Regions from separate parts of the Mus musculus genome. Here all the other regions are reported to be linked to region 2. Evidence: microRNA targets listed by miRTarBase, many of them from high-throughput screens and not tested one by one. Region 2 holds a microRNA gene; each other region holds the end of a gene's coding sequence.
The links. The annotated mature microRNA mmu-miR-3090-3p reads UCCCAGGUGACACCCUGACUCA and lies in region 2 at 3,553-3,574, shown strand. An mRNA with a match to its seed (bases 2 to 7 or 8) in the 3' UTR can be bound and repressed. Matches are read on the target gene's strand: a 7mer-m8 pairs with bases 2 to 8, a 7mer-A1 pairs with bases 2 to 7 and ends in A, and an 8mer does both.

Region 1 (8,258 bases), not on the chromosome of region 2:
CAGGTTGTGCCCAACTGCTGAGCCACATCCAGAGCCAGGTCACTCCACCTCACCTAGTGACAGCTGTATGATGTCTTAGCTTTTGGGGACACCATCCCCGACCTCACTGGATTCCAGTAGTGTCCTGACAACAGGAAGTGTCTGAGCCATGGCTGAGTGTCCCTTGGGAAGGTCACATAATACAGCTAACGTCTGCAGGACTAGCATTAGTCCACATTGCCTGCGGAGTCACTGCTGTGGACTTGTGTTTTCATACCAGTGTGAGACGGTGCAGGATAGAGAACTCACGGTTGTACATGCTGACCTGCAGACCTGGTGCCTGGTGGAGAACGTAGCCATGGAGTTCAAGGCTGCCAACATAGCCAAGCTGGAGGGCTAGGGAGATGGCTCATGGGTAAGGTTCTTGCCATCAAGTCTGATGGCCTGAGGCCTCACAGGATCCAAGGGCCCGTATTTGTCTTCACCTAAATAGCACCTTCTGCTCTTCCAAGGGATCTGGGTTCGATTCCCACCATCCACAGAGTTAAATGTCTTTAGCTGTAGTTCAGGAGATTGGAGCCTTCTGACTTCATCATGTGCCAGGCACACACAGTGTGCAGACACATGTAAGCGAACCACTCATAAAATACATAAATCTTACCAAAAAACCCAGCAGAGCAGCAGGAACCAACAACGAGGCTTTGCACAAGAAGGGCAAGTGCCCAGCTGCTCAAACTCCTGACCCTCTGGTGGCAGGGGAGCCTCACTCCCTTCCCTGGAGGAGCACTGGGGGCTGACTCCAAGGTCCAGTGAGTGAGGACTGTGGCCCAGCACCCTGGAGAGCCCCCAGCTCTGCATGCCTAGGCTCTGAGTCACTGCCCAGCACTGGCTGGCTGCCTGGGACATCTTGGGGCCAGGCCACAGCCTCCTGCCCAAATTCCTACCCACAGCCTGACTTGCTCCTTCTAAGAGAACCAGCCAGAAGGAGGAGCAGTCCTGAATCTAATTTACAGATGAGGTAAACTGAGGGACGGATCCATCTGGCCATTTCCCTTAAGTCCCAAGACATTATATGAAGTCCAGGGGTTGACCCATTCACCTGTGTTCTACTGCCACCAATCCCTAAGGCACATAGTGTCTTCCTCTGAAGTGTCACCAGGACTAGGTGGTTTTTTAGGACAGTGGTAAGAGCACCCAGCAGGTGGCCAGCCCCTTTCTCCAGTCTCTCCCTCTTTCTGTTGGGGTTAGCTGCAGTTAAGAGCTGTTTCCTTAAGCAGGAAAGATGCATAGACCTAGGAAATGAGCAGGAGGAGCCAGGCAGCCAGATTTGAAGGCTGTCTCCTCATGACACAAGGGCTGGGCTGGAGGCTGGAGAGATGGCTCAGTGGTTAAGAGCACTGACTGCTCTTCCAGAGGTCCTGAGTTCAAATCGCAACAACCACATGGTGGCTCACAACCATCTGTCATGGGATCTGATGCCCTCTTCTGGTGTGGCTGAAGACAGCTACAGTGTACTCATATAAGTAAAATAAGTAAATCTTTAAAAAAAAAAAAAAAGCTGGGCTGGTGTGGGGGACAGGATCGGTTGTCTGTTATGGGCATGACCACACTTGGACTCTACCTGTGACCTCTGTTGTTGGGGCCACTCTCACCTGGATCTCGGGACCTCCTAATAGGTCCTTTTTACTGTGTGTCTGTATGGAGAGTCACAGTATGTAGGGAGGTAAGTGCAGGCCCCGGGGTGCAGGCATGCTTGTGAGAGGTAAGGGATCAGTTCTCTCACCTTTACAAGGATTACGACCAGATCAAACTCGATCACCAGGCTTGGAAGACAAGCGCCCTTACCTACCCTTTGAGCCACAAGCACATTCAGGCTCCTGCTGGCTGAATGGTTCTGTGGCAGCCATACTTGTAAGTGGCTGGAGCTATGGAAGTATGCCTGGCTGCGCGCATCATCTGGAAATGGAAACTAAACCCAGGCTGGAGATTTGTCTCAGGTTTCACACCTGGTAGGTGTTTGAGCTCCGGGGTGGGGGTGGGGGTGGGGGGACTCTCAATCTCCTGCTAGGAAGGAGGTCAGCACACCTGGCAATAAGGAAGTGACAGGGGATAAAATGCTGGGGGGGGGGGGGGAGGCTGGGAGGGTAGAGATGGTGACACAGAATAATGCTAAGCTGGGAGCAAGCTAAGGACTGCCACCAGGCAACCGCAGAAAGCATCTTGATCAATCTGGGCCTGCAGTCCACAGTATAGGGGGAAGATTTTCCAGACAGCCAGTGGCTCTGCTGAGTAAGAGACTGATCTAATTAAGCTCCAAGCTTCTCCCACACACTCCCTACAAGGCCTGGCCAAAGGGCGGGACAAGGGAAGGACAGAGCTCCTCTAGGGCAGGAAGCAGATTCGAGTAGGGGTGTCAGACAAGACACAGGAAATCTAGGGAGACTTTCCCCAGGCAGGCTGAGTAGGAGTGATATTCCTGAGAACTTAATCTCAGAAAACCACAGTGGGAGCTGGAGCCGCAGCGGGCGCTGGGGAATGCTGGCTGCCTAGCAGAGCACCCTTCCCACTGTCTCCCCCGTGCCATTCCCGCTGGGGCTCCAAGCTGGCTCACCACACACAGCTGTGGGCTCAGACACTGTGAGTTGGAAGGGACCACAGCCTGGGGGGCTGGTGGTCAGCGGGGAACAGCAGTTCGTGTGTCAGAAATCAGCTGCTGCCTGCCATTCTTGTCCTGGGCAGAACTGAATCCACAGAGACGAGGCAGGCAAGACCACCATCACTTGCCCACCCTGGGTCAGATAGGTACTGCACACACGGGTACACATCCAGGTCTTTCACTGATTGCTATTCTGAGCCCAGAGAACTGCAGGCAAAGAAGACGGGAGAGCAGAAAAGGGGACCCTGACCCAAGTACCTCCCATTCCCCTCGCTAGGTAGGCACTGCACAGTGAGTTAAACACCAGCCCTTCAGTGCCTGTTGGTAAGTAAAGTGTTTTTAAGACAGAGTCATGGGCCCCAGGTTGGTCTGAAACTCACTATGTAGGGGAGGATGACCTTGAACTCCTGATCTTCCTGCCTCCACCTCCCCAGGGGTAGGGTGACAGGTACGGGTGAGGACACTTGGCTTTGCAGGGCCTTGAAAATAAAAGCTGAAGCCCAGGATCAGAAATGCTCACCAATGGGTGGTGGCACTCCACTTTAATCCCACACCCTGGAGGCAGAGGCAGGCAGATCTCCAGTTCGTGGCCAGCCTGGTCTACAGAGGGAGTTCTACAACAGCCAGAACCACACAGAGAAACCCTTGTCTTGAGAAGAAGAAAGTCAGTCCATCACCTTCCATGCATGATGTCCCGTGGGAGCCCCACACCTGCTCTCCAGTCTGTTAACTCCCAGGACGTGGAAGCTCCACCATGCTGTTAGCCACACATGCCAGCACCATGACTCAGGGAGGCAGTCCTTGAAGGCCTGTGAAGCCACGGGCTTTCCAGGCCACTTGCTTCTCCACTTTCTCTCTGAGGCAGTTTGGCTCTTGCCCCAAACAAAGGGCAGAAGGAAGGACGGATGTGCCACCCCGTGGATTCAGAGGAGATGGCAGGCCTGGGTAGAGGTCCCACCAGTCTGGCAGAAGGTGGAATTACTGGGCTAACGAGGCTCTGAAGTGCACAGGGTCACACAGAAAACTACAGCAGAGCCAGGGTCGGAGCCAGGTTGTTTGTCTAGTGTATCTCCATTCCTGTTCTGTTTCCCCAAGACTCTTTCCCTGAATTTTTCTTTTCTTTTTTCCCTTCAGGGGGAGGGGAGGGAGTTCGAGACAGGGTTTTCTCTATGTAGCCCTGGCTGTCCTGGAACTCACTCTGTAGACCAGGCTGGCCTCGAACTCAGAAATCCGCCTACCTCTGCCTCCCAAGTACTGGGATTAAAGGCGTGAGCCACCACACCTGGCTAAGATTTATTTATTATATGGAAGTACATTGTAGTTGTCTTCAGACACACCAGAACAGGGTGTCAAATCTCATTCCTGATGGTTGTAAAACCCTGTCTCGAAAAACCATAAATAAATAAATAAATAAATAAATAAATCTTAAAAAAAAAAAAAAGACTTGCTCTTTGGTTAGTGTGCTCACCTTCATCATCCCTCGTGGATGTGTGAGACAGAGAATAATGCCTCTGTCTTAAAAAATACCCCTCGTGGATGTGTGAGACAGAGAGAATAATGCCTCTGTCCTAAAAAAGACGGCCGGTGAGAGACACAGCTCAACACTAACACTGGGAAGGCTGAGGCAGGTGAGTTTAGTCTGGGTTTTCAAGTTTATAATGAGGTTGGTTGGATGTTATTCTATGGCAGGCTCACTGATGTCCCAGGAGGGGGTCAGGGAAGTCGCTGTGCAGACAGAAAGGCAGCGGCTGGGACAGAGGAAGAAAGTATACAAGCAGAGGAGACAGAACCAAAATGTCTAGATTACCTAATAGAGCCTTGGGGAGAGGAAGCCCCGCCCCTGGGCTGCAGGGGCTGGAAAGTTCAGGGTAGACTGTGGGGTGTACCTACCTATGTGCCCAGCAACAGGTAGGGACTGCAGGATACTGGGAGAACTTGTAGGCCAGGTCTGCTTTGGTATTTAAAATAGGCACTTCAGCTACTCTTCCTGGCCCTGCAACCCAACACAGGCTACATTGTGAGATCCTGGCTCCAAACTACCAAAACCACGCAACTCAAACAGAAGGCACAGCTAGCGAAATGGTGGACTCAGCAGCTAAGGACGCTCACTTTGTCACCAGGGGCACGGCGCACACTCGAGCACCAGCTTAGCAAGATGGGAGTTCTCTGAACCTTGTAACCCCTGACTCTGAGCAGAGCAGAGCCAGGCTGGGCCTTGTTGGCATTAGACATAGCTGAGGGGGCCCCAGGTTCAGGGAAGAACTTTGCCTCAAAGGAACAATTTGGAGTTTCAGGACACCCACACGGAGAGAGGTGCGTGACCCCCTCCCCCCCACACACACACAAGCCTGTTCCTAAGCCTGGGTGAATACAGAGAAGTGGCTTCACAAAGCTATCCTCCAAGCCTCCCGATGCCTCCTCTGCACCCCACACCTCACACACATAAGGATGACAAAGTTTCCAAAAAAGAATTTAATCCATCACAGTATGATATTTTCAGCCTATAAAAACATCTGAACAAGGGTTTCAAAGCAGTTCCCACCCACTCAAAGCAACGCACAGGACAGGCCTGAGATCAGCCCATTCAAATCATCTTTGTATACAGAGCATCCCAGAGTATCACCCCAGCCTAACCTGGAGAAATTGCAGAGAGGTGCAGCAATCAGGGTTTGCAAAAATAAATAGATTTAATACATATGTGTGATATCCTTGAATATACAGAATGAAAACCGAGCCAGGTGCCATCGGCACATTACAGAGCTCTTTACAAGTGTCCCAGTGGGCTGGGCAGTGTGCCCTTGTGTCTTGAGTAGTGGACAGGTGGATCTACCCAGGAATCCAAGTAAGGCCACCACTGTCTTCTTAGGTTACCCATGTGACAAATCTGTGGCAATTTCTAAGTATTCTTCCAAGTCCCACCAAATAGTCTGGGATTTCTTTTGGTTTTTAGATATATAAGGTCTCACTATGTAGGCTTGGACCTCAGACATGTGCCCACCTCTTCCTCTTGAGCATAGGATTAAAGCCAAGTGCCACCACACCTGAGAAACCATGCGTGTATCCCTCCCCTCGCCCCATCTCTCCCCTTCAGCAGGCTGGATGTCTCTGTGAGAGAGGATGACGTTACCAGAGGAGCTAAACAACTCTGCTGTGCAGAGCCAGAAACCACCAAACAAACAAACAAACAAACAAACAAACAGACTAACTAAACACCAGACAGAGGCCCTGAGTTCCCCCCAGTACTGAAGAAGGCAATGGATGCTTGGAGCCTGGCAATTATCTTCTGTGGTCAATGATTCGGGGCCACTTCCGGCCTGAGGTCCCATCCAATGCACCAGGGTCAGTGCAACCTAGGAGTACAAATGTGGACCACGTGGGTGCCCAGCACAGAACGGGAAAAGTGCGCAGAGAGAAGTGCAAGCCTCACTCGGAGACTCGGGGGCTGGGCACAGGACAGGGGTCCTGCCGGCCACCCCTGAGCAGCAGGACACTGAGCAGGCCAGGACTCCTGAGCAAGGCAACCAGTTGTCTCAGGCACTTGATAAATATTAAGGGAGAATGGCGACTTGGGCTTGTCCCTCCAGGAACGGGTGACGTTTTGGCAAAGGCATGAGCGGGTATCCATCACTGGCAGCTGCCGGCCTCAAGATCCAGCAAGATCAGTACCGAATGTCACGAGTCACTTTCCTGGCTTCTGATGGGGGCGGCAGAGTCAGGCAGGAAGGCTCTGGGATGAAGGTCAATGCAGGAAGTCCTGAGGTTAGGGACTGGCTATGGTACCCAGGACCCGGTCAGTAGTACCTGCTGTCTCATGTCCAGCAGGCTTCTCTCTGCCTGGGTGGGTCTCTTCCTCCTCCGTGTTAGTGTTGAAAAGAGTAGAATTCAGAAGCTTCTGGGACAGCCTATTTGGCTTCCAAGGAAATGAAGATGGGAGAAAAAAAAAAATTCCCAGGCAGAATTCGAATTTCAAGCACAGCCAGTAGCCTTTTCTGTCCCCAGACAATAAATATATAAAACAGAACCTGGGGCAGACAGGCAGCTGAGCTTGGCCCCCAGCCCAGCTTTGCTCTTATCTTGCTTTGAGCAACACAGAGCCCAGGGAGGTGGCAGGACCAGTGCTGGATGGGGAGGTCTGGAGAGAGTGTCTTTTCTGCCTAAGCTTGGCAATGGATCCCGGAAAGAGACGGCTCTCCCGGCTGCTCATGCCACATCGTCCTCCAGGCTGACCATCTGTCTCTGTCAGCAAAGCGGAAACACAGGAAACAATCAGACTAACAGGACTATACACAAGCATGGCAGGAATCCACCTCTCTCTCCTGCTCGTGTCCCTCACCTTCTGTCCCTGCGCAGTCACCAGAGGTGGCCAGAACACCTAAGACTGGGTCAACTAAGGCTCACAATGCTCTCCTCTCACTTCCAGGCTCGGATCTTACCACAGATATATCCCGTGTTTCTTTCTGATTTTTTAGAAAACCTCTCTCTCTCTTTCTCTCTCTCTCTCTTTCCTTCCCTCCCTCCCTCCCTCCCTCCCTCCCTCTCTCTCTCTCCCCCCACCCTTGGGAGGGGATGTGTGTGTATGTGTGTGTGTGTGTGTTCTCTGCATTAAAGTTACACATGTGCCTGATGCCTGTGAAGGCCAGAAGGTATCAGATCCTCTGGAACTGGAGTTATAGATAATTGTGAGCCACCATGTGGGAGATGGGAATTGAACCCAGGTCCTCTGGAAGAACAGCCAGTACTCTTAACCACAGAGCCATCTCTCCAGTCTTCCCTTATGCTTCTTAAGTACACTGTGCCCAATCTTATCACAATTTGAGGTCTTTGCAATGAACTGATTCCTCTATTCCCAACCCCCACTCAGAGGAGACCTCCTCCCCGGTCCACATACAGCTGGCTCTAGCATGTTCCTGCTACTGTGAGGCACACCCTAAGCCCTCACTGGGGGCCTAGGCAGGTTCTACCACTGAGCTGTGCATGCCCCTGGTTTGGGCTTCCTCTCCTTCCACTCCACCTAACTTCTGTCCTTCACCTCATTTGATGTCTCATCTCTCCCACAAAGGGCACACTCACTGAGGGGTAGGTATAGCCATCCTGGCTTCGGCAAATGTGGAGCTCGTCCTCTGTGGTCTTCTGGTAGACTGGGTTGTCAAAGTTTATGCTGTTGATGTTCTTCAGCCGCCAGTTCCTCCACAGCAGGACGGCCCCAAGGACAAGGAGGGCAACCAGTGCTGTGGGGAGAGGGGCTTGGTCAGGGGCTCTCAGGAGACCCCGTGCCAGTGAAGCTACCGGCATGTCCATCCTGGCCCTTTCATGTGACAGCGATATGTTTTGAATGTAAAATTATACTCACCTATCATACAAAGAAAAAAACCAAGGGAGTGTGTGTTGGTATAGCATTCACTGGGAGTCTAACACTTCAGGGGAATGAGGCAGGAGGATGCTGACTTCTGAGCCAGCCTGGGCCCCATAGCCTGACCCTGGTTCTAACTTTTGAGATTCTCTGTCAACTTTGCTCTTTTTAATTAATTAATTTATTTATTGAGACAAGGTCTCACTGTGTAGTTCTGGCTGTCCTGAAACTCACTCTGTAGACCAGACTGGCCTCAAACTCCTGTCTCTGCTT
Region 2 (8,258 bases):
GGAAGTGGCCCATTTAGAGGAGAACCCAGGTGTCTCCAAGAGACATGTGAGGATTAGCAGGTCTTTGCACCAAGATGAACACAGCTGGTCACAGATAAGGCCATTGCTAGTGACTTTTGGACATGATGGAAAAGGACATCCGCTCCACAAACGAGAAAAGCGTCAAGCCAAACACAAACAGCGGAAGCGCCTCAAGTCCAGCTGCAAGAGACACCCTTTGTATGTGGACTTCAGTGATGTGGGGTGGAATGACTGGATCGTGGCACCTCCGGGCTATCATGCCTTTTACTGCCATGGGGAGTGTCCTTTTCCCCTTGCTGACCACCTGAACTCCACTAACCATGCCATAGTGCAGACTCTGGTGAACTCTGTGAATTCCAAAATCCCTAAGGCATGCTGTGTCCCCACAGAGCTCAGCGCAATCTCCATGTTGTACCTAGATGAAAATGAAAAGGTTGTGCTAAAAAATTATCAGGACATGGTTGTGGAGGGCTGCGGGTGTCGTTAGCACAGCAAGAATAAATAAATAAATATATATATTTTAGAAACAGAAAAAACCCTACTCCCCCTGCCTCCCCCCCAAAAAAACCAGCTGACACTTTAATATTTCCCAATGAAGACTTTATTTATGGAATGGAATGGAAAAAAACACAGCTATTTTGAAAATATATTTATATCTACGAAAAGAAGTTGGGAAAACAAATATTTTAATCAGAGAATTATTCCTTAAAGATTTAAAATGTATTTAGTTGTACATTTTATATGGGTTCAACTCCAGCACATGAAGTATAATGGTCAGAGTTATTTTGTATTTATTTACTATTATAACCACTTTTTAGGGAAAAAAGATAGTTAATTTGTATTTATATGTAATCAGAAGAAATATCGGGTTTGTATATAATTTTCAAAAAGAATTGTAGTTGTTTTTCAGTTGTGTGTATTTAAGATGCAAAGTCTACATGGAAGGTTGCTGAGCAAAGTGCTTGCACACTTGCTGTCTGTTTCTTGCAGCACTACTGTTAAAGTTCACAAGTTCAAGTCCAAAAAAAAAAAAAAAGGATAATCTACTTTGCTGACTTTCAAGATTATATTCTTCAATTCTCAGGAATGTTGCAGAGTGGTTGTCCAATCCGTGAGAACTTTCATTCTTATTAGGGGGAATATTTGGATAAGAACCAGACATTACTGATCTGATAGAAAAGCTCTCGCCACCCTCCCTGCAGCAAGAACAAAGCAGGACCAGTGGGAATAATTAGGAAAACTGTGACTATGTCAGGAAGTGATGATGGCATCTTGTTCTTTCTTAAGCCTATAATCCCTTCCAGGGGGCTGATCTGGCCAAAGTACTAAATAAAATATAATATTTCTTCTTTATTAACATTGTAGTCATATATGTGTACAATTGATTATCTTGTGGGCCCTCATAAAGAAGCAGAAATTGGCTTGTATTTTGTGTTTACCCTATCAGCAATCTCTCTATTCTCCAAAGCACCCAATTTTCTACATTTGCCTGACACGCAGCAAAATTGAGCATATGTTTCCTGCCTGCACCCTGTTCTCTGACCTGTCAGCTTGCTTTTCTTTCCAGGGATATGTGTTTGAACATATTTCTCCAAATGTTAAACCCATTTCAGATAATAAATATCAAAATTCTGGCATTTCATCCTATAAAACCTAACCCGTGAGAGCAAATGGTTTGTTTGTGTTTGCAGTGTCTACCTGTGTTTGCATTTTCATTTCTTGGGTGAATGATGACAAGGTTGGGGTGGGGACATGACTTAAATGGTTGGAGAATTCTAAGCAAACCCCAGTTGGACCAAAGGACTTACCAATGAGTTAGTAGTTTTCATAAGGGGGCGGGGGGAGTGAGAGAAAGCCAATGCCTAAATCAAAGCAAAGTTTGCAGAACCCAAGGTAAAGTTCCAGAGATGATATATCATACAACAGAGGCCACAGTGCCTAAAAAAATTAAAGAATGTCTGATCAGCGTCTCAGCACATCTACCAATTGGCCAGATGCTCAAACAGAGTGAAGTCAGATGAGGTTCTGGAAAGTGAGTCCTCTATGATGGCAGAGCTTTGGTGCTCAGGTTGGAAGCAAAACCTAGGGAGGGAGGGCTTTGTGGCTGTTTGCAGATTGGGGAATCCAGTGCTAGTTCCTGGCAGGGTTTCAGGTCAGTTTCCGGAGTGTGTGTCCTGTAGCCCTCCGTCATGGTTGAAGCCCAGGTCTCACCTCCTCTCCTGACCCGTGCCTTAGAACTGACTTGGAAAGCGGTGTGCTTACAGCAAGACAGACTGTTATAATTAAATTCTTCCCAAGGACCTCCGTGCAATGACCCCAAGCACACTTACCTTCGGAAACCTTAAGGTTCTGAAGATCTTGTTTTAAATGACTACCCTGGTTAGCTTTTGATGTGTTCCTTATCCCTTTAGTTGTTGCACAGGTAGAAACGATTAGACCCAACTATGGGTAGCCTTGTCCTCCTGGTCCTTCAGTCATTCTCTAATGTCTCTTGCTTGCCATGGGCACTGTAACAAACTGCAATCTTAACATCTTATAAAATGAATGAACCACATATTTACATCTCCAAGTCCTCCAGATGGGAGTGCGATCATTCCATAAGGATCCCACCTTCTGGCAGGTCTATCCAGTACATATTTTCTGCTTCATTGGTCTTGATTTTCTTGGCTAAAATTACTTGTAGCACAGCAGGCCCCATGTGACATATAGGTATATACATACATGTATGTGCATATAGTGTGTACATGTTCTAATTTATACATAGCTATGTGAAGATTATGTTACATATGTAGATGGTCGCACTTCTGATTTCCATTTAGGTTCAGAGAGAGACGTCACAGTAAATGGAGCTATGTCATTGGTATATACCCCGAGTGGTTCAGGTGTTCTCTCTATTTTTTTAAGATGGAGAACACTCATCTGTACTATCGAAAATGAGCCAAATCACTTAGCAAATTTCTAGTCACTTGCCTTGCTGTTAAGATACTGATTCACTGGGTGCTGACATGCTGAGCCCCTCCCTACTTTTTGATTGAAAGGACAAAGGAAGAGAGCTTTGCAGTAAAGAATGGTTATATTGTGGGGGCGAGGGGGGCGGCGTTATAGATCGGCATATATGTGAGGAGGTCACAACAGCCTGCACTATTCCTTTTCTGTTTTATGTCTTGCAGGGGAAGGGACAGGTAGGGTGGGGTTGAGGGGGCAGGGCACACACATCTACTTGGATAAATTGCATCTCCTCTTTCCTTCACCCCGCCACCATATCTTAAAGCCTTATGACATCCTCTAGGGCAGAATTTTCTCACCAGCTCCCCGCCCTACCAACTTCAAAGTGAACTTCTAACTAACTTGAGGGGCCAAAGTTCTAAATAAAACTTGTTAGAGTTTAGCGGGCACCTCAGTCATCAGGAATGCCTCCAGGAAAGCAAAAAAGCTTGATGTGTGTACAGCCCACGTGGTGGAGTCCTGCCACCCTATGATTCCTGTCCCAGTGGTCTGGGTGGGGCCTGAGATCCTGAATTTCTAATGAGCTCCCAGGTGACACCCTGACTCACTGTGCCAGAGGACTGCAGTTTGAGTAGCAAGGTTGTGTGGACTGTTCTTTCGATCATGGCTACAGAAGCTGGCTCAAGTACAGCCCCTTCGTGTGTAAAAGCCATGTGTAAATGAGAAGAAACAGAAGGCAAAGCTGCGTTGCATGGCATCTGAATCAGTGCCCTGCAGTTTTGTTTTTTGTTTTTTTTTTTTCAAAGACATTCTTTTTCCCAACAAGATGAGTGGCAATCTTATGTTCTAGCCACTCTTAGACATGAAAACACTGGGTTGCTTATCTTGTAAAATCTGCTCTGCTTGCTTGCTTGGGCACGCTGCAGTCAGTTTAGTCAAATGCGTGTCAGTACATCTATATGTATGAGGGAGCAGGTGCAAGTCCTTAGAAATGTACTTTAAAAAACTTGAACACTTAAGTCAGTGTGCTGAGCTGCTCCTGTGTGATGTTAGTGCCAAGCACCTGAGTTAAAGGGATCTCTTTGAAGGCAGAGGGTAGATGTCGTATGGTTGAAGCATTTGTTTATACTAAAATGATGCTTGACTTTTTTCTAAGTTATAAGACAGTACACTGTATAAGTTCATTGAACCTAGAGGGTGGCATAGGACTCCAAATCTGGTATGGGAGGTTTGTTCTAATGGAAGTTCGAATCTTTTTTGCAGTTGGCTTGGAATAAAGTGCTTATGTGAATGGGCTTAAGCTAGGGAAAAAAATGGGTTTCCCTCTGCAAAGAGGGTCAGCACAGAAATAACTTCCTGGCTTTGCTTGGCATGAATGCCACTTGTTAGCAGAATGCCCTGTGGGGATCAAGGGTAGCTTGGGCAGCACCTTACTCGGCTCTCAGAAACTCTTAGAAGCAACACAGACTTTAATATTTGTTGAAGAAATGTCAGGATGAATATATTCTTAATCTCAACCAATCTTGTTGTGTAAGACACACACACACACACACATGCACACACACACACACACACACACACGCACACACACGCACACGCACACACACACACACATGCACACACACACACACGCACACACACACACACACACACACATCCCTGTGGGTGAACAGACATGTGCACATACACACATACAAGCACACATATTTGCATACACACGTACATGCTAACAAGCACACATGTTCACATGCACGCATGCACACACATGCATGCACATCTCTGAAGGAATTTTCGTTTGCTCATGTCTAGAGTCTGAATGCTGAGGCAAGAGCATCAACCGTCCCCCACCCCACCCCCTTGGCCAATCCCTATGGATTTATCATTTTGTTTAGGTCTCTAAACTCTGAATGGAGACCCTCTGAGGTGCTACACCATACGCTGACTTTAACAGCACTTAAAAGCTTGTGTTTGCCTGTGTGCTGGGCCCCTCGCCAAGGCATTGCTGGGAGTCCATTACTGTTGCAGTCCATTCTGATGAGGAGGTCTCTCAGCAAAGCCCCGATCTGCTCACAGCTCTCCTCATAAGGAGCAGGAACTCATCTGGACCGAATTTACCCTAGAACCGCTTGGCCACAACACTATGAGAGAATAATTATTGAACTATTTTACTGTACAACTATTTCCAAATTGTTGATTTTTTATTGATTTCAGGAGGCAAGCTAATTGCCCCATGGCAACTTGATGTTAACATTTAATGAAGATCAGGAAGCAGAGTTTATGAAAAGCGTTTGTATAGCGACTGCAAAGCTTCAAGAACTGTTTTACACTTCCTGACGGGGCTGGGCCTCGCTTAATGGTTTGTTTTTATTGCTTAAGAGTGTAAACCGTGCCTTAGCCCAGTGTGTGGAAACTATACCCTCATCCCGCATTGCACATTTTCTTGTTGCTTTTTCCTCGCTTCCCATGTCATTGTACCATCTACAATCAAGACTTTCTCTTCTTTGTATGCAAGCAAGTTTCTATCTTAGACGTTGATGACACTACATGCACACACACACACACACACACACACACACACACACACGCACATGCATGCACATAGCCTGATGAACTGAATGTGCTGCTTCACTGTGTTTGGGTGGAGTTTCTGTTCAGCACTTGGTTGCTAGACAACCAAGCAGACAAAATTTAGCGATTCAAAAGGCATTTTTAAAGACGACAAATTTTGAGTGGCTGAACTCTTTTATCTCTGACTTTATGGGGAAGGTGCAGGTTTCTTTCAAAGATCTTGTCTCTTCCTGTTTTTTGCTGAGTAGATAGCTTACTGGTAGAAATTGTGTGTGTGTGTGTGTGTGTGTGTGTGTGTGTGTGTGTGTGTGTACAGCGATCATGTGTTTGCACATGTGTATTCAGGTGCACGTGCACATGTGTGCACAGCCGTGTGGAGGTCAGAGGTTAACATCCAGTGTTTCTCTCAATAGCTCTGGGCCTTGGTTTTTCAGAAAAGGCGTCTCACTGAACCTGGTTCTCATCAGTTTAGCTAGGCTGTCTGCCAGCGAGCCCCAGGGATCCTCCTGTCTCCGCCCCTTGTGTACCCCCAGCACTGGGGTCCAGACACATTACCCACCATACCCAGCTATGTTTTAATGTGGGTGCTAAAGCGCTTCATTCACTTGCTTCTTCTTGTGCAGAAAGCGATTTAGTTACTGAGCCATCTCCCTCACCCTGAAGAGTGTTTTGAAGTCTGGCTCCTTCAGGATTGTCTGAAAGCTTTCTTAACTGCTGTTCCCATTTGCTGGAACTTGCTTCCCACCTGGAAGCTAACTTGGTTTCCAAGGGCATGTTTTAAATCACTAGTAAAGTTGAGCTCCGGCTCCAAGCTCCTCCAATTGTTTCAATGTCAGGGAGTGATTCCTGTTGGAGGCAATGTTTAGAAGCACCAAGCCTGGGTGTGGAGGGCCCTGTCTCGAAGAAGCGACCCCAAGTTTTTGCCTGATAGATGGTATTGAAAATGTTTTCTAAAACCTTCGTGAAAGCCTAATTTGAAATCAAAGTCATTTTCTGATTTCTGTAACGTGCTCCAGGAGCGAGTTGTAAAATCGGGATCTTTATAGATCGGCCAAGTTGGGCTTGTGTTCACACGTTCGCTCACATGCGCACACAGTTGGCAGCTGACAGGCTCCATGCTGAGATCTTTCTTCCTCCTCTACCCTCTGACATGTCTCTGCTGCTCTGGCTCCTCTCTTTGTGGGGTTCCCTGGGCTGGAATGTAGTCAAATCCATGGAAAACTTTAACCACTTTTCTGATTCTTCATTTACAGGCAGGATTTCCTGGCACTGGGATCAAGGGGGGAGGGGAGGGGCGCGGGGGTGAAGGACTGAGGCTGGTTCATCACAAACATCTTGCAAATGAGACACGTTTGAAGCCCATCTGGCCTGGACAGAGAGATTTGACAAACTAGTCTCTGATAGAGAAACCTCACCATCCGACTTTCTCCAACGAGCTTGCAGTTCTCTAAAGCATATCAGTATGAATAAGAATCACTTTTTAAGCATGGAGGCTCCAGGATGAGCTGGGCAGCAAATCACAGTGCTTCTGAGAGGAGCAATAAATGAAAATAAAAATACCAGTCTTAGATGAACACTCCCAACATCCAGCATTCCCTATGTTCGTCAGATCCCATGTAGCTGGACAGTAGGAAATGGGAAGAACTATAGAAACTAAATAACTTTTGTGGTTTAAATATAAATATATATGCACATATACTTCAAATATATTATACATGTATTTACGTATCCATGAATTATTGCCGATTTCTGGACTGGAACCATTCTAAGTGGTATCACGTTGTAGAACTGCCTTGGCGATGCTGGTGACAACCTGTTCTTCTTGTGTAGAGAAGGTCTCAGACATTTGTTTCAAGAGTTTCCTCTTTGCTAAGGTTCAGATAAAGAATAGTTCTCTATCTAAAGAAAACTGTGACGGGACACGATAAAATTTAAGATGCAAACATGTCTGGCATGACTGAATTACAGTAATACAAAGAGTCCAAAAAAATAAATTAATTCTTAGAAGAACAATCTATGTACATAAGAAAACCCATGCACCAGATTGGGCTGTGTTTGTCATAAATTAGAGCACAGACACCAAGCATGTCAGTTGACTGGTTCTCCAGCCTTGTTGGTCTCAGGAACTCATCCACCGACTTGACTCTGTGTCCTGTTGGTATGTCCTGTAGCTTATCTTTCCCATAAAATGCTTTAGGCCTTGTCACAGCTGCTCCTACTTTTGATATTTTGTGAGTCTTAATTAGTCTTAATTACAATCTTCATGATGAATAAAAAGAGGAGGGAAAGAAAAAAAAAGAAAGATCTAAAAGTTAAGATCAGGAGATTCCTTGTGCGAGAAACAGCTGCTCCAAAGGAAAATGTATTCTTGACAAATACATAAGCTTCAGATACTACACCTTGCAGAAATATGTCATTAGTTGGCTGTCCCATTGGACCGTGAGGGAGCTCCCATACTCCCTTTTTTTCTCTTAGGAGTAGTACCGTTCATGCTCCACAGTCACTTTAAGTACATGTAGTAAGACTGAAGCCGAGATGATGGAAGGAAACTCTTTAGGCCTTTGTATCAGCCAGTGTTTGATATGCTTGCAAGTTCAGGAGGTGCTTTTTAAGAATGTGCCCTGATGACGGAGCATAAAAGGTATTGCTAGATGACCTTACAACACATGTGGGTGCATTCTAACAGCTTGGCAGATGGCATGCAAGGCATTCCCATAGTCAGA
Region 3 (8,146 bases), not on the chromosome of region 2:
GGCGGGGAAGGAGGCTTTAGAGAAAGTAGGGAAGCTCAAAGGATCAGAAAAAATGTACTTAGGTTCTGAGGAGCATCCCAAAGAAAGAGGCAGAGAGAAGGAAAAGTTGATCCTTTCTGACTCAGGCCTCTGAAGGGCAGGCAGACCCCGAGGAACCTCCTGGAGGCTGGTCGGGCTCACCTTATTTTGTTTTTTAAAATTCGTGTGGTCTGTAGGAGCCTGCAGGGGCTTTAGAATTAGATTGCGTTAGATTTGTCTCCTACCTCTTTTCCTGTTGCTATATTCGGCAAGTTACTTTTCCTCACTTCCCTCCAAAACTGGACCAGTTCTGACACCGATGGTTAGGCCTTATTTATCTTTTCCTTCTTCAACAGGTTCCCAGGATATTTGTCAATGGACGATTTATTGGAGGCGCAGCGGACACTCACAGGCTTCACAAAGAAGGGAAATTGCTGCCTCTGGTTCATCAGTGTTATTTAAAAAAAAAACAAGAGGAAAGACATTGAATGATGTGGATAGTCGCCATACCAGTAAATGCTAGTTAGTGCAGTCGTACCTTTGACTTGAGGCTGTTTTCAGTGTGTGGATTGCCTTCATAAAGATGATTCAGAATAATGAACAATAAATTGCCCTGGACCCTTCATCTCCCGATTGGCCAGTTTTTGAGCATGAGATGGTATAAAAAAACTAAAGGAGGTGGAGTTACATCAAAAGTAAAGAATGTTTATTAAGAATTTAAGAATCTTACAGCAAAGAGGGAGTACGCACTTAAACTCTTGCTCCCCATGGCATTCAGGAATTAACTTCTCACGTTCACTAGCTGTCAGGGCTGAGGACTGACATGTGGCTTCCTTAAAATTTAATGTGGTACAGATGTGCAGTGGGTTGGGATACCATATCATGACAACCCTTTATGTTCTAGACCACCAAACATACTAAATATGTAGAATTCGATGAAGTTTCTAGTTGGGGCATCAAGCTGCTAATGACTTCATGGTCAGAAAGCAAAAGGTTTCAATAGAGTGAGAGTGGGCTTTTCAAACAGTTCAGAAATGTTATTTAGTTCTGTTGCCAGTTGGACATTCTACCTTTCAGAATGTGTATCAGCTACTGGAATTTTTTTTTTTTTTCCTTTTGGAGACAGGGTCACTCTGTAGCTCAGAATGGCCACAAACGCAAAAGTCAGTCCTCCTACCTGTTTCCAGGCTTGGATTATATGCTGAGCTACCACACCCAGCTTGAGAATGCTTAAGAGAAACAGGAATTAGAGTTTAGACTAACGGTCCTTGTTATAGTCCGAACGTGCCCCACCACAGACATCATGTGTTGGAAACACATGACATAACCTGATATGGTACGCGAGGTGAGGCCTTTACAAAGTACTTAATCCTGAGGGCAGATGGGTCCGTGCTCTATTAGAGTGGTTCTTGATAAAAGGATGAGTTTGTCCCCTTACCTCTCCCGTCTTTGCTCTTCCTCTTCTTCCTCTGCAGTGTCCTGATACAGCAAGGAAATCCTCACTAGATAACCTCACCTTCCCGACCGATGACCTAGAGAAAGTCCATCTCTTCTTCATAAAGTACTCAGTCTCAGGTAGTCTGTCTGAGTCCCACAGATGGAGCGTCCCTAAAATCACTTCTGTTATCTTACTATTCTCTAACTAGGAAGACACTGTTCAAATTGACTTCATTTCAGATAAACTTAGCAAACAGAATTAACCTTTAAGAAGTAATATTTAAAAGAACTGAAAACATTTCCAATGCTTTGCTAGTCTGGTCATGGTTTCCGCCTCTGGTCAAGAATATTTTAAGTGCTTAAGAAATGATGCATTTCCTAGCAGATTCTCAGAGTCACGTTGGAAATGTTATCAAATGCTGAGCCTTTCTCAGGTAGGAAGAACATGGACTTCCCAGAGTGAGTGCTTCAGCTTTCTGGTCAAGATAGACTAGGGACTCATGCAGAGTTTGGAGGGAGACAGTGGCTTGCTGTCAGAGATGTTTCCTACGTGGACTTCAACTGCATTTTGGATAACTTGACATAGAAGTTAAGACAGCTCTCCTGATTTAAGCTGTCATGTTGGTAGGAAAGGAACATGGTGTATTTTTATTCCTTTATTTTACACTATATCATGAGAAATTATATAATTTTACTATGCTCTAAAACTCACATTATGTATGGGAAAGGTGTCACTGTTTCTGTTGTCACTAGTAATCTTATTAGGATGTAAGGTCAAAGGCAGGTTACTTAAATGCACAGCTACACCAACCACGTAATAATATGGCCTTGGCTTTGAGGAGCTTTTTTTGTGGTATTCAGCCTCAGACCCAGGGCTTGAATAGCAGGCAGGTGTGCAGGTGCCACTGACTTATAAAACTTTTTCTTTTTTTTTTTTTTTACATTAGACTTTTTTAATTAGATATTTTCTTTATTTACATTTCAAATGTTATCCCCTTTCCTAGTTTCCCCTCTGAAAATTCCGTATCCCCTCCCATTCCCCCCAACTCACCCACTCCCATTCCTGGCCCTGGCATTCCCCTATACCGGGGCATAGAACCTTCACAGGACCAAGGGCCTCTCCTCCCATTGATGACCAACTAGGCCATCCTCTGCTACATACGAAGCTCGAGCCATGAGTCCCACCATGTGTTTTTTTTGGTTGGTGGTTTAGTCCCTGGGAGCTCTGGGGGTACTGGTTTGTTCATATTTTTGTTCCTTCTATGGGGCTTGCAAACTCCTTCAGCTCCTTGGGTCCTTTCTCTAGCTACTTCATTGGGGACCCTGTGCTCTGTCCAATGGATGGCTATGAGCATCCACTTCTGTATTTGTCAGGCACTGGCAGAGCCTGTCAGGAGACAGCTATATCAGGCTCCTGTCAGCATGCTCTTGTTGGCATCTGCAATAGTGTCGGGTTTGGTGATTGTTAATGGGATGGATCTCCAGGTGGGGCAGTCTCTGGATGGTCATTTGTTCAGTTTCTGCTCCATGCTTTATCTCTGTAACTCCTTCCATGGGTATTTTGTTTTCCCTTCTAAGAAGGATCAAAGTATCCACACTTTGGTGTTCCTTCTTCTTGAGTTTCATGTGTTTTGTGAATTGTATCTTGGGTATTCTGAGCTTCTGGGCTAATATCCACTGGGCTAATATACCACTTAGCTATACAACTAATTCTTAAGAATGTTTTATCAGTTCTTCCTAGGCTTGTGGGAAACAAGAGGATGTGTGGTACATAATTCTTGGTTAGGGTCAGATGTTAAAATAACCCAGCTCTTAAAAAATCCTTATCGTCAGAAGGCTCAAGAATATAGAAGGTAACAGGGTATGTTAATTTTCAATTATAAGTTTATATAAGAAATAAACTCTTAAAGCCGGGCATGGTGGCGCACGCCTTTAATCCCAGCACTTGTGAGGCAGAGGCGGGCGGATTTCTGAGTTTGAGGCCAGCCTGGTCTACAGAGTGAGTTCCAGGACAGCCAGGGCTACACAGAGAAACCCTGTCTCAAAAAAAAAAAAAAAAAAAGAAATAAACTCTTCCAATGATTGCTTAATTGTGTGCTGAATTTTATTCTCAGTGACTTAAACAAAAAGATTACTTCTTGGAACCTAGCACTGCATCAAAAGGAATGAATTTGCAAACCAGGACTACTCACTGACAGGAAGAGTTGAAAGTGAAGGGCGCTGACCTCACTTAGTCTTTGTAGTGGTTGACATGTCTTTGCAAAAAGACCCAAGACTGTAACAGAAGACTTAGCCTCTGCGAACATTTACAATAATGGAGTCTAGATAGCTGTATGGGTAGAAGTGCTTGCCAAGCAAGCCCATGATCTAAGCTCAGTCTCTGGGACCCGCAGTGGAGAGCAATGATTCCTGAAAGTCCTTCTTGACTTGTCCATGTGAGGGCTCACTCTCATAGGCCCTGTCCATATGTATGTGTGCACAAATAACAAAGAAATGCTAGATAAAACTCAGGAACACACACGCACAAGATACAACTTGTGTTAGTGCTGGAAGGAGGACTGCATGAGGCATGCATGCATATGAAGGCCAGAATTGCTTTGTGGAGTCAGTTTTCTCCACCTTAGTATGGGTTCATTTTGGTGATGGAGCTTCAGTTAATAGGCTTGTACAACCACTGTCCTTTACACACTGTGCTATCGCTTAGCTTAAAGGATACAATATTTATTTTTTAGTTTTGGGGGTTATGGTACTTAGCATATGTTAAAGCAAAACCCAGTTTCAGAAGGTTAATGCATTTGTGCCAAGCCTAAAGACCTGTATCCGATGCCTGGACCCCACATAACGGTGGAAGGAAAGAACCAACAGCTTGTGTTGTAACATGCATTCCCCCGCCTCCCACATATACTCAAACACAACACCAAAGATAAAAACATTTGTATTTTGATTAAAATCAATTTTCTTCATCCTGTGATGGTACTCAACTGGAAAAGAGTCCTCAACTACATATACCACACATACACACACACACACACACAGACACACACACACAGAGACATCAAAAAGATAATATTAATTATGGAAAGATTTTTTTTTTATCTTTTGAGTTGTAACCGACTGCTTCAGGGGTTTACATATAAGGCATATTATAACCTTAAAATTCATGTTTTAAAAAATGATTAAAAAATGATTAAAAGACAGTTATTTGATATGCATACAATTTATTTGGTACACCTATCGATTTCTACAATAAACTGGTGACAAACAGTTTGTGTAGTGCCCACTCCACATCTGGAATGACTTACAAGTTAAGCATCCCCAATTTGGAAATATAAAATTTTAGAAAGCTCCAGAACTGGAAACTTGAGAGTGTTAACATAATGCCCGTGGAAAGTTCCATAGACCAATTGCAAAGTCACAGCCAAAGCAAGTCCATTAAAACATGATTTTCTGTCACATGACACATACAAGGCTCATACAGCAAATCCCAGGTATTCCATTATACATCTGCAGATGATTCCAAAATTGGAAAAAAGAATCTTAAAATACTTGAGGCTCCAAGCATTTCAGGTAAGAGACAATCAACTTGTATGTAATAGGTTATTTTGCAAGGTTACAAAAATCAAGATTTCTCAGTATTGGTGAAAACTTTTATCATGAAGTAGAAGTAATAACTGAAGCATTCATCCACTCCTCATTAGAAAACACCAATGTCACATTGTTACACATTATTTACATTGCAAACTTGGAAGACTTGACAATCAATAATCACAAGTACTAGGAAAGGCCTATAAGCCTTCCCCAGGCTCCGTTCTTGGAAACAAGTTAGTTATACATCAAGCATAATAGATCTTTAAGCACCAGCGTGACAATTTTAAAGCATTCTTTCGGTTTTGTAAGATTTTTCTGCTTTGAACGGCAAAGCAAATGCAAAATGAGAATGCAATGAAACAAGTCACTGGTCTGATATTTTTATTGCAAGAGTCTCAAGGTTTTAATACTATCTTCAATTCTCTAAATGACTTTGCTCATAGGTTTGAACCAAAACATTTGCCTTTTGCCTCAAAAATTTCCCTTAAAAAGCAGTTCTTTTTGGAGCTATACAACTGAACTTTTCATCCAGTGTTAAATATGCAACATGGTCCTTGGAGGTCATATTATGGCCAGGAAGTCCAGCTTCTGGGTAACTGGTTATACAAAACAATACAAAATCTTAAGCAACCATAAAATATACTGATGTTGCAGCCATGTACTTATTACACATCAGCATAGCCAGATTATTCTTTTCTTATTTCAAATTATTAATGTGCAATCAGGTATAATACCTAACACTTAAATTCATTATGTAGAATTAAAAGCTCTAGAAGACCCTGTAAGCTCTACTCTTCAGATCATTAGCACACTCTTAAGGCATTACTTATTTAACAGACCCTAAAGAAATTAGTATGTCTGGAAAAGAGAGCTTGTCATATGTTAAGGCAGTCAAAAGAGTCCTTTTTCCCCACTTTAAGGCTCTTAATATAACTATAATTTATTTTACGCAGACATAATTCTGGATACCTGAAAGATCCATCAATTGGCCAATTATAGAAATAAATGTCATTGTAATAAAACAAATAGTTTAGAAGCAGATTGTAATACTTTTCTTCCAATTCTTTCAAATATAACTCCATTCATCCCATTCCTTTGGAGAATTCATTATTAAATTTGCAATAAGAAATTGTAACTTAAATAATAACAAAAGCTATTTCACCAACCATACCAAATATATATTCTATTATTTAGAACAGTGCAACAAGAGCAGCTTTCTTCATTAGTATTCATTCACTATCTTTAAGTCTAATTTGGTCATAATGGGGCTGGAGTTTACACTTCAAACAAAGCCTGAGAAATCATTTGGATACAGTTTCAATGTAATGATTTCACTGATATAATTTAGCAGTTACGCATAGTCAACAATATTAACCCTACTTTTAATAATACAAATATACAGTAAAGTGAAACCAGCAGAAATGAAATTAATTTAGTTTCTTTTTTTTTTTAATCCAGATTCTGCTAACTTATACAAGGTACAGAAGTTCAAACATTTTAAAATGAAAGTTCACCTGTGTTCACAAAGTTCTGATGATTAAAGGCAGGGATAAAGTAGAAAGGCAAACATATCCCTGAAGGATATGAAACAGCTTTTGTATATCTTCATTATATTTACAAATGCTGAGTGGAAATAATCACAATTCTAGGAATAGAATCTCATTGATTTTCCCTTTTTTTCTAATATATCTTGTTACTTTTAGGGTTTAGGAAAACTGTGTCATCTGTTATGTTATTCAAATAGCATTCTTAGTTACATTATTAGTTTTCTATATGAAAATATTTTCAAATCAACTTTAAATTTCATAGTGATTTTTTTCAAAAGAGTAAATAGTTACCAGTAAGATAGTGAATGTCAACGTAAGTCATTATAAGGCTTTTTGTAAGTTCAGTGTACATGTATGTGTGCATGCATGGACAGACACTCAGTTGAAAGACTTTGTAAACTAGGAGTGTAATTATAGAACTGAGAGGATATATGTGTCACTTTCTGAAATTGCGGTCAATTAGATTGCATATATAGTATAACAGTTCTCTTTTCAGTGTTTATCAGTGATTATACAGATTCTGGTCTTATTGAATGGCTATAACATTTCTGGAATATCTACAACATGACTTGATTTGGGCAAAGAACATATCAATCCGGATATTACTTCAGTAATTTGGAAAACATTTTTAAAAATGAATTATTTATTATTATTTTTTTTTATGTACATTGGTGTTTTGCTTGCATGTATGTCTCTGTGATGGTGTAGGATTCCCAGAACTGGAGTTACAGAGAGTTGTGAGCTGCCATGTGGGTGCTGGGAATTGAACCTGGGCCCTCAGGGCTTTTAACCAGTGAGCCATCTCTCCAACTCTGAAAAATATACTCTTAAATTTATATAAAACAAAAAAACAACCTGCAGTAGATTCGCCCCAAACCTGACTGTGGATGATTTTCTGGTCCTGCAATTTATTACCCAACTGGATCAAACAGGAATAAAAGGCAAAAATGGGAGAAGACTTTGCAAAAGAGAAAAATGGGCGAGAAGTAATCTTCCATGGAAGAAGAGATGATGGAGCAGGTATCAAGAGAACACAATAACTTCTGAGTTAAACACCGGCTTGTCTCACAAAGAACCTGTCATCTTTGCTGATCCTTCCTTCTGGCTGTGTGACATTTCTCTAAGATGACAACTTGTACCCTAACAAAACCAATGGAATCCAAGACGATTTTGCATCTTGAGTTACTTTGACTACAAGCACACCACACAACAACACAGACCAAATCTGTAGCAGCACTTCTTTTCACTTTTACACGCCCATGCACGCCCATGCACGCCATGGCACAGAGGACAACCGGCAGGAACTGGTTTCTCCTCCTACCTTGTGGGGTCCAGGGACTGGGAACCATTCATCAAACTTGGTGGTGAGTGTCTTTACCCACGATGACTATCTTGCTTGCCTTGGGACAAAATGTTTAGGTCACAGGAAAATAACTCAAAGAATTTACAATGATTTAGCTTTCATTTCCTGCTTAGATGTACACTTCCTGTGCTTCTAAAGATCATTAGATTCTTACATTTACATTGGTATAATTTTTCTTGTCGAAGTCTAGGAA
Region 4 (8,258 bases), not on the chromosome of region 2:
CTGAGAGAAGCAGCTTTGCAGCTCCCCCTCCACCCCCCGAAATAATAAATGGCTTTAGAGACAGAGTTCAAGTCCTAGTGTATTTTCATCGTTTTACAACAGGAAGTCATAACACATCGAGGCTCTTGAGTTTGTACTCAGCCATGCCAAAACCCAGTTTGAAGCACTCCTCAGACATGCTGTATTACTTCTCGCTCAAGATTTAAAATATAAAGGTATCTAAATCGTTGTCTTATTGTAAATGTAACTCCTTTTCCTTCAAGTGTTGACTAAGTTGTTTCCTCTCTTAAAGACACTCACTGTACAGCCAAACACAGCTGTCTTACTTCTTGAGAACTGTGTTTACTTTTCTGACAAGCTGTGTATTTGTATGTAGACTGACATATGATGTGAATGACCTTGTATGTAGAAGTGCGGTGCTCTGTCTACGCAGGATAAATGAATGTTTCTAGTTCGCTGACTTAAGACACAGGCTGTTTACAAATCGCTAGCTCGAAGGTCTACTTGTCGCGGCTTTGAGTTACTCTCCATTTCTGCAGAGGTGAGGTGCAGTCTCCTGCTCATCAACTGGAGATTTAGTCATAATGCCTCCTGAGTTTGTGTGAATAGCTTGCTCACTTTGCTGGCCTTTGATATGTATGTTCTCTGTGGTAAACTGTCCATGTGTTTGTATTAAGTGCTTATCAACCACAACCATCACGTAGCCATCCCAGTTCTTCACCTTGCACAGTATTTGAAGTATTAGACGTGGTGGAAGATGTGCTTCATCCTCTGACAGTGGACGCTCGAAGAGCTCATGTTCCAGATTGTGACTGTGCGCATTTCCTCTAGTTTCTTTCTGAAATCTCTCTATAAATGAGTACAATTAATAGTATACTGGACTGTGTATCTACAGGATGTAAATTGCAGTATTCCAAAGGCTGAAGCTCTGCTGTTTTGTTATAATGCCTGATAAACATCTTGAATAAAGTCTTAACATTTTTCTTTTAAAAAAATAGTGTAATGTTGGGCTAATGAGAAAAGAAATACTTTTTAAAAAAGATTTATTGCCAGGCAGTGGTGGCACATGCCTTTAATCCCAGCACTTGGGAGGCAGAGGCAGGCAGATCTCTGAGTTCAAGGTCAGCTCACAGAGTGAGCTCTAGGACAGCCAGGGCTACACAGAGAAACCCTATCTAGAAAAAAAAATTATTATTTTGGTAGTTTTTAAACAATTAAATAATTATTGACCTAGATCAGTAAGTCATTCCTCAATGGTCCTAAGGAGGACTACCAGGAGATGAAAAGATATATGAGATAGGAAAGCTGTGTCTTATTCCAGACAAGTTTGTCAAGAAGTACAGCATCTTTTTTTTAATTTTGTTTTGTTTTGTTTTGAAGACAGGGTTTCTCTGTAGAGTTCTGGCTATCCTGGAACTTGCTTTGTAGACCAGGCTGGCCTCGAACTCAGAGATCCCTCTGCCTCTGCTTCCTGAATGCTGGAATTAAAGGCGTGCACAACCCTACCCAATGAAGTACAACTTCTTATATATAGTTTAAGGAGGAGGAAGAGTCAGCAGAAAGCCCATACAGTGACATCAAGTCATCAGGAAGCTGATCAAGCAATGTTGTACAAGGGTAACACAGGGTATCTCAAGTGCATCACAGACACAGCACACATCAGTTTTGAGACTGATAACTTGTCTTTTTAAGGGAAAAAGCAAAGTTCCCAGGAACCAAATCCTTAACTCCTTCGAGGCCTTGACCCTAGCTCTAGACCAGACCAAGTCTGCCCTTGGCAAGGACAGAGAACTAGGTTCCTTTTGTCTTTTCATCAGGGCCTCTGAGAAAGCCTTGGATTGGCCTGGCTCTCAGTAAATTATGTGGATGTGTGTGCCTGTATGCATGAGTGCAGGTATCACTCATGCTTACAGAAGAGGGCATCAGATTCACTGAAGCAGGAATTACAGGTGGTTATAAACCACCAGATGTGGGTTCCTCTTAGCACTCTTAACCATGGAACCATCTCAGCAATCCCAAAATACTTTTTTAAAATGTGGGTAGGACTGGTAAGAAAGCTTAAGACAAAGTACTTGCTAACAAGCCTGATGACTTAAGTTTAAACCCTTGGACTCCCATGGCCAAAGGAAAGAAGACATTCTTGCAAACTGTCTTCTCATCTCCATGTGCACACTGTGGCACACATCTCCCCCCACCCCGACCCCCAAATTAAATAAATAAAATGTAATATATATAATGTAGAAGGAGTCTAGGGATAGAGCTCAGTTAGCTGAGCGCTTCACTAATATGCATACTGCTCTGGGTTCAACCCCTAGTTCCTTATAAACCAGATATGGTGGAACACAATCTGCAATGCTAGCATTCAGGGGGATTAGAACCTCAAGGGAACTTCAGCTATATAGAGAACAAGGCAGGCCTGGAACATATGAGACTCCATCTCAAAAATACAAAACCAAAGTAAAAATTCTAAGTATAAATGAGTTAAAGATTTTAAACGTGGGAGGTAACAAGGATTAGAAACCAAATGCTTATACTCTCTGGCCTGGAAACTTGGCCCATGTCTACTACATAGGATGGCCCGGAAGAAAAACATCACTGATACATGTCTCACAGACTCAGCTGACGAGACAAATATTAACCTCAAAGTCTCACTATTTTACTGTTTTAGAGGTCAGTGGAAACTGGGAGCCTGTGAAGATATGAGCAGTTCACTGGTGGGCAGTTTTATTTGTATGGGCAGAACTGGGTAGCAGTTTTCTTCCTGAGTTTTTCTTCACTTGCAGATGGGGGATTGCCTATGCAGGTTAGAACAGGCTTGTGTATGTGCAGAGCCACTGTGGATGGTAAAAATGCCCATAGCACTTCTGCATCCCTTGCCTTGAAACTATGAGCACCAGGCACCAGGGCCATCGCTATCATAGTGTCATAGAGAATGCACAAGGTACTGGGTTCTGTCTCCAGCACTGCATAAACAGGATGTGATATAACATGACTTTCATCCATCCATCCCAGCATCCAGAGGTAGGGACAAGAGGATCAGAAATTCAAGGTCATCCTCAGTTACACATCAATTTGAGGCCAGCTGGGGCTAATTGAGACTCTATCTCAAAAACCAACCAACCAACAGTAAGGCAGCAGGCTCACTCTAGCCTCACTGGGAGGTCACAAAGACCTTCAAGTGTGGTCGGTTCTCTTGTTTTTACAGTACACAGACTAGAAACTAAAGCAGCAGATTCAGAGGGCAGAAAACAGGAAGAAGAGATGGGAAGAAAGACTAGAAATCCATTCATTCATTACTCATTTACTAAGCCAGGGTTATGCACCAACAGAGTTGACAGGTAGAGAGCAAAGTCACACAACTCAGACTTGAACGGGTAGAGTATTTACTACTAGTGTCAGATCACAGTCATTTGTTGATCAAGATATGAGTATCCTATGTTGTTAGAAAATCAAAGGAAGTACACAAGATTCCAAAGAGTTAGACAGGGGATCTGGGATGCATTAGCTATATTTTAGAGTAATTTATTTCAGCTTCTATAAGCTTTAGTGCCTTCAATTTATATCAGGGATAAATGATAGCTCGTGTATAAGATTGTATAAGGTTGGCATGAGGTGCAGCAGAGTTTTGCAGATTTGCTTAAATATGACAAGTGTTCAATAAATTACATGTAAATAAACAGTTATGCATACACTTGAACATCATTTAGGCAGGCTCTAAAGCAAACTGCTTTGTTGTCAAACTAAAAACTTGGCTTTGATGAAAGGCTCCCCTACCCACATACAAAAGCTGTATGTATGAAGAAGTTCCCTTTCCATCCGAGGTGTGCCTGCAGCCCTTCTACTTCAGCCTGTGGCCGCTGTCCTCTGCCTAGCCTGTCCTTGGCTACAGGGGAAGCCAAGGCACTGAGGCCATGTAACAGAGATCTGAACCATCCATGTCGACTCTAGAAAAGTCTAAGGCTGTGCAGTGTCTCCCTCCTTAGCTTCAGCACAGTGCCACAGATGTGCGGGAAGCAGGAACTGTGCAGGCGAGGAACCTCGAAAGCCTCACAGCACTCAGCTTCTGCCGCCTCAGGGGTGAGCACAGCACGAGCCACCGGGGCAGAGCCATTGGTGTATGAGGTGCTCAAGTCACACGCCTGCTCTCTATCACCTGCCCCCACACATACACACATACACACATATGGGGTTTTACGACATTCTACATCCCTCTCCATTTAATGAAGAACTGGCTTCAAATGGATAAATTAAAAAAAAATTAAAAAAAAAACAAACCTAAGCTGGGCAGTGGTGGCACACGCCTTTAATCCCAGCACTCGGGAGGCAGAGGCAGGCGGATTTCTGAGTTCGAAGCCAGCCTGGTCTACAAAGTGAGTTCCAGGACAGCCAGGGCTACACAGAGAAACCCTGTCTCGAAAAACAAAACAAAACAAAACAAAGCAAAACAAAACAAAACAAAACAAAAACTGAATGGTCCTCAAAGTCCTGGCCTACCTGCCATCAAAACACCAACTGATTGCCTTATTCTACTAAATGGGGGACTTCATGTTATCATCAATGGATTTCAAACAGTCATTCATCCTTAATAGAATTTTCAATGAGGCAGGCTGCTTTGTTTGGAAATGCTTCCAGATGGTTCTGATGGGAGAGCAGAGAGTCACTCTCTCGGCCTGCAGCATCAATTCTGACTCTCTGTAAACCACGTGTAACTTTTGCATCTTTCTCCATCTGACTACTAACAGGCCCGACCTGACCCTACTTAGCTTCTGAGATCAGACAAAGTCATGTGCATTCAGGATGGAATGGCCAGACTCTTTTCTAAAATGAATGATACTAGCTGGGCGTGGTGGCCCACGCCTTTAATCCCAGCACTCAGGAGGCAGAGGCAGGCTGATTTCTGAGTTCGAGGCCAGCCTGGTCTACAAAGAGTTCCAGGACAGCCAGAGAAACCCTGTCTTGAAAAAACAAACAAACAAACAAACAAAAAGATAAAATGAATGATACTGTTGCCTTCTGAGCACAGCTGACATCAGTCTCATTAAATGACAGGCAACTTTCTCCCTTAGTTTCCACCCTGCGTTTTAGAGAATTCTGGAAAAAAAAAGCTGATCTTTACCAATGAAAATAAGAAATCTTAAGTGGATAAACTTTTTAAAAATTCAGTGCCTTTGAAAAATTGGGCAGAGGCCTGGAGAGACAGTTCAGCATTTAAGAACTGGCTGTTCTTGTAGAGGGCCCAGGTTCAATTCCCAGCACCAACATGGTGGCTCACAACCATCTGTAATTCCAATGCCAGTAGACCCAACAACTTTCCTCTGGCCTTCAAGGGCACATACACACATGCAGACAAAATACTCATATGTAAAAAATAAAAAGTAAAGTAGAAAAGAAAAACTGGGCAAAAGAGTTTATTATATAGCTATGTATTTCAAGAAGGGTATTTGGGAAGGTGATTTATTTTTATGAAAAGTATCCTGTTACAATAAAATTAGTAATAACTGTCATAAATACAAAGAACCCAGGACACAAGATGAAAGTGCCCTGCTACTCTATGTACCTCTAAGGAAAACAGCTCACACCTACCTTTTTACTCCATATGAACCTACTGATACAACTAAGAGAGCCTGGGTGGAGTCCTAGCCACAAACAGATAAGCTCTACATTGCATGATGGCATTGATTCAGACTTACGAGGAAAAGGCAGGATGGCCCAATGAGAGTTCCCTGGCAATTAAGAGAGAAGAGATGACAAGAGTTGAGGGTTGTAATGTTAAAGGGAACCCAAAGGTTCAGGCTGAAGGGAGTCTGAGAGATAGAAACTTTACATAAACAAAAGCCAAGACTAAAGAGAGTGATGGTGAGTAGACACACACACACACACACACACCACACACTCTCACAGTAGAACCAAGGCATAAAGTCCCACCATCTCTTGCTTCATCCAATTCCTGCCCTCCCCAAAGCTGGGGCAGAGAGTTACAGGTAGGAGACAGTGAGGAGGTTCCTGAGTTCCTAGGTATTTATTTTTTAAACACAGCATGTGTCATATTGGGAATAGGCATGTAAGATGTCTGTTTAGCATGTGCAAAAACCTGGATACCATCTCAATTCCACACAAAGGCCCACTGTTGAGCGTCTTTTCGTGTTTTTCCTCATCCAAGATTCCAGAAATAAGGAAAGCCATTACCAGTTTTTTGAAATAATGCACAATAAATTTAACTTTTAGTTCTATGACCAACTCTGGGAATGTTTAATGCACAATGGTGGTAATCTAAGCTTGCCGATCAGCTGGTACAGTTTACAGTTTAACGCATACTCACTTTGCAAGGGCATTATGTACACAAAGACCCACATTCCATAGCTGGGAACTATGATAGCTCTGAACTATACTCGTAGGTTTGTTCGATCGTGGTACATCTGGTAAGGATCGCCAGCGTACCAGTTGCGCCTCTTCCAGAAAGATGTCGTCATTTTATCCAGGAGTTTACTCTGGGTCTTGCTGCAGAACACAAATTCCCTCAAGCGCTTCTTTCTTGCAGTTGACTTTTTCCATAATTTTTTCTTATAGCCAGCCTATGAGATAATGTTCCAAAGACATTTTAAAACTTGCAAAGGCAGCAGCAGATGCTCCATAATTTATGGTATATAGGCCCAAAGAGCAAAGCCAGACCTACAGAGATTGGGTTGTTTCTCTTTGCAATAAGTAACAGGTTAAAAAGCATGTGTAGAAGAGGATTAATAATTTAACACTTTAGAAAGATTATTTAAATTAAAATCACAAGCTAGACATAGGGTACATATGTGTAATTCAAGCACTCAGGAGATTGAGGCAAGAGAACTGAAAGTTGAGAGCCAGGCTCTGCAGATGAAAGCACGCACCACTCTTCAGAGGACCTGAATTCAATTCCAGCACCAATACAGGTGGCTTACAACTATCCATAATTCTAGCTCCCCAGGACCCAATGCCTCTGGCCTCCGTGGGCACCCCACTCACAGGCACAGGCCCACACATACAAATAACTGCAAATAAAATAAATCTCAGGCAGACTGATCTCTGTTTAGTTCAGGGTCATCCTGGTCTACATAGGAAATTCCAGGCTAGCCTGGACATAGTAAGATTTGTCTCAAAACAAATCTTTCTTTTAAAAATTAGAAATAAATGAATGAACACAGACTGCAGAGCAAGAGTCTATCTGGAAAAAAAACGAAACCAAAAATGGGCTGTGGGGATGGCCCAGTGGGCAAAGTGCTTGTAATGCAACCAGGAGGACCTGAGTTTGCAACCCAGAACCTATGTAAAAGCTGGACATGGTCGTGGACTTCTGTAACTCCACCACTTGTGAGGAGAAAGGCAAATGGATCCCAGAGCTTACTGGTCAGGCTGACTAGAAAAATTGGTGAGCCCCAGATTCAGTGAGAAAACCTCTCAGAAACTTAAGGGCCTGAGAGATGGCTCAGGGCACATAACGCTCTTCCAGAGGACCAGCACCCATGTTGGACAGCTCACAACTGCCTGCACCTCTACCTTCAGGAGGACCTGATGCCTCTGATGTCAGCAGCAGCTCTAATCGTATCTGTGGGACTGAGCATAGATAATGAGGCTCTTGTTAAGAACAAGCCAACAGCTTACAAGCCAAAGCTCTTCACTGACATTTCTCAATGCCGGCTATGAGCTCAGTTCTAATACATACACACTTTATCTACAGATTTCTCTAAGATAGGGGAAACCCTCTCAGCCCTTCCCACAGTGACTGCACCTGCCACTTTGAACAGTGCTTTACTCTATTCACACTCACACCCTTTCTCTGCACAAGGACACAGCAGGACACAGAAGAGCTACCGTAAGATGAGTGCACACCATGGCTAGGCTCACGCAGCACAAAGACTCACCTTTCTCCTTAGCCAAAGGCCAGAATGAAGTCGGAGGAAGCGATGCACGACCGACTTTACCGTCTTTCTCTTGCCTTTCCGTGTGCTGCAGTATGTTAGAGCTCTGACTGGTGGCTTCAGGACACTGGGAACCAATGTGGCCACTCTAAAATACAGTTTTAAAAAAGTAGTGAACAGACTGATCGAAGGGCAAGGAACTGACTTTCATCACACCACATAATGTCAAGAAGATTGGCAACCTTCCTACTTCAAGCCTTCTAAAATCTGCCCCCCACAGGGAGAGGTAGAACCTGTGTTTAGCACATACAAGACTTTAGGGTCAATTCCCTAACACCCAAAATAAAGCCCACCCACTTGACCATTAAGAGA

Region 1: miRTarBase lists Ldlr as a target of mmu-miR-3090-3p. Seed matches in the 3' UTR shown: 7mer-A1 at 6,582-6,588.
Region 3: miRTarBase lists Glrx2 as a target of mmu-miR-3090-3p. Seed matches in the 3' UTR shown: 7mer-A1 at 2,671-2,677.
Region 4: the mRNA of Mrpl35 is a reported target of mmu-miR-3090-3p. Seed matches in the 3' UTR shown: 7mer-m8 at 5,236-5,242.

What each region holds. Positions count from the first base shown.
Region 1 is chr9:21,746,754-21,755,011 of GRCm38, reverse strand. It overlaps Ldlr (low density lipoprotein receptor), which reads right to left. Exons shown (of 18, transcript NM_010700.3): 17 at 7,706-7,863; 18 at 5,093-6,871. The coding sequence ends at 6,836. Among named protein-coding and RNA genes, the nearest start is that of Spc24, 9.4 kb to the left of the region's middle.
Region 2 is chr2:133,561,208-133,569,465 of GRCm38, forward strand. It overlaps Mir3090 (microRNA 3090), which reads left to right and starts at 3,501; the gene lies at 3,501-3,587. It overlaps Bmp2 (bone morphogenetic protein 2), which reads left to right. Exons shown (of 3, transcript NM_007553.3): 3 at 1-1,689. The coding sequence ends at 508.
Region 3 is chr1:143,746,134-143,754,279 of GRCm38, forward strand. Glrx2 (glutaredoxin 2 (thioltransferase)) reads left to right here. Exons shown (of 4, transcript NM_001038592.1): 4 at 375-3,545. The coding sequence ends at 506. Ro60 (Ro60, Y RNA binding protein) reads right to left here. Exons shown (of 9, transcript NM_013835.2): 9 at 4,657-8,146. Among named protein-coding and RNA genes, the nearest start is that of Glrx2, 11 kb to the left of the region's middle.
Region 4 is chr6:71,809,716-71,817,973 of GRCm38, forward strand. It overlaps Mrpl35 (mitochondrial ribosomal protein L35), which reads right to left. Exons shown (of 4, transcript NM_025430.3): 3 at 7,890-8,034; 4 at 3,282-6,572. The coding sequence ends at 6,384. It overlaps Reep1 (receptor accessory protein 1), which reads left to right. Exons shown (of 7, transcript NM_178608.4): 7 at 1-995. Among named protein-coding and RNA genes, the nearest start is that of Mrpl35, 9.9 kb to the right of the region's middle.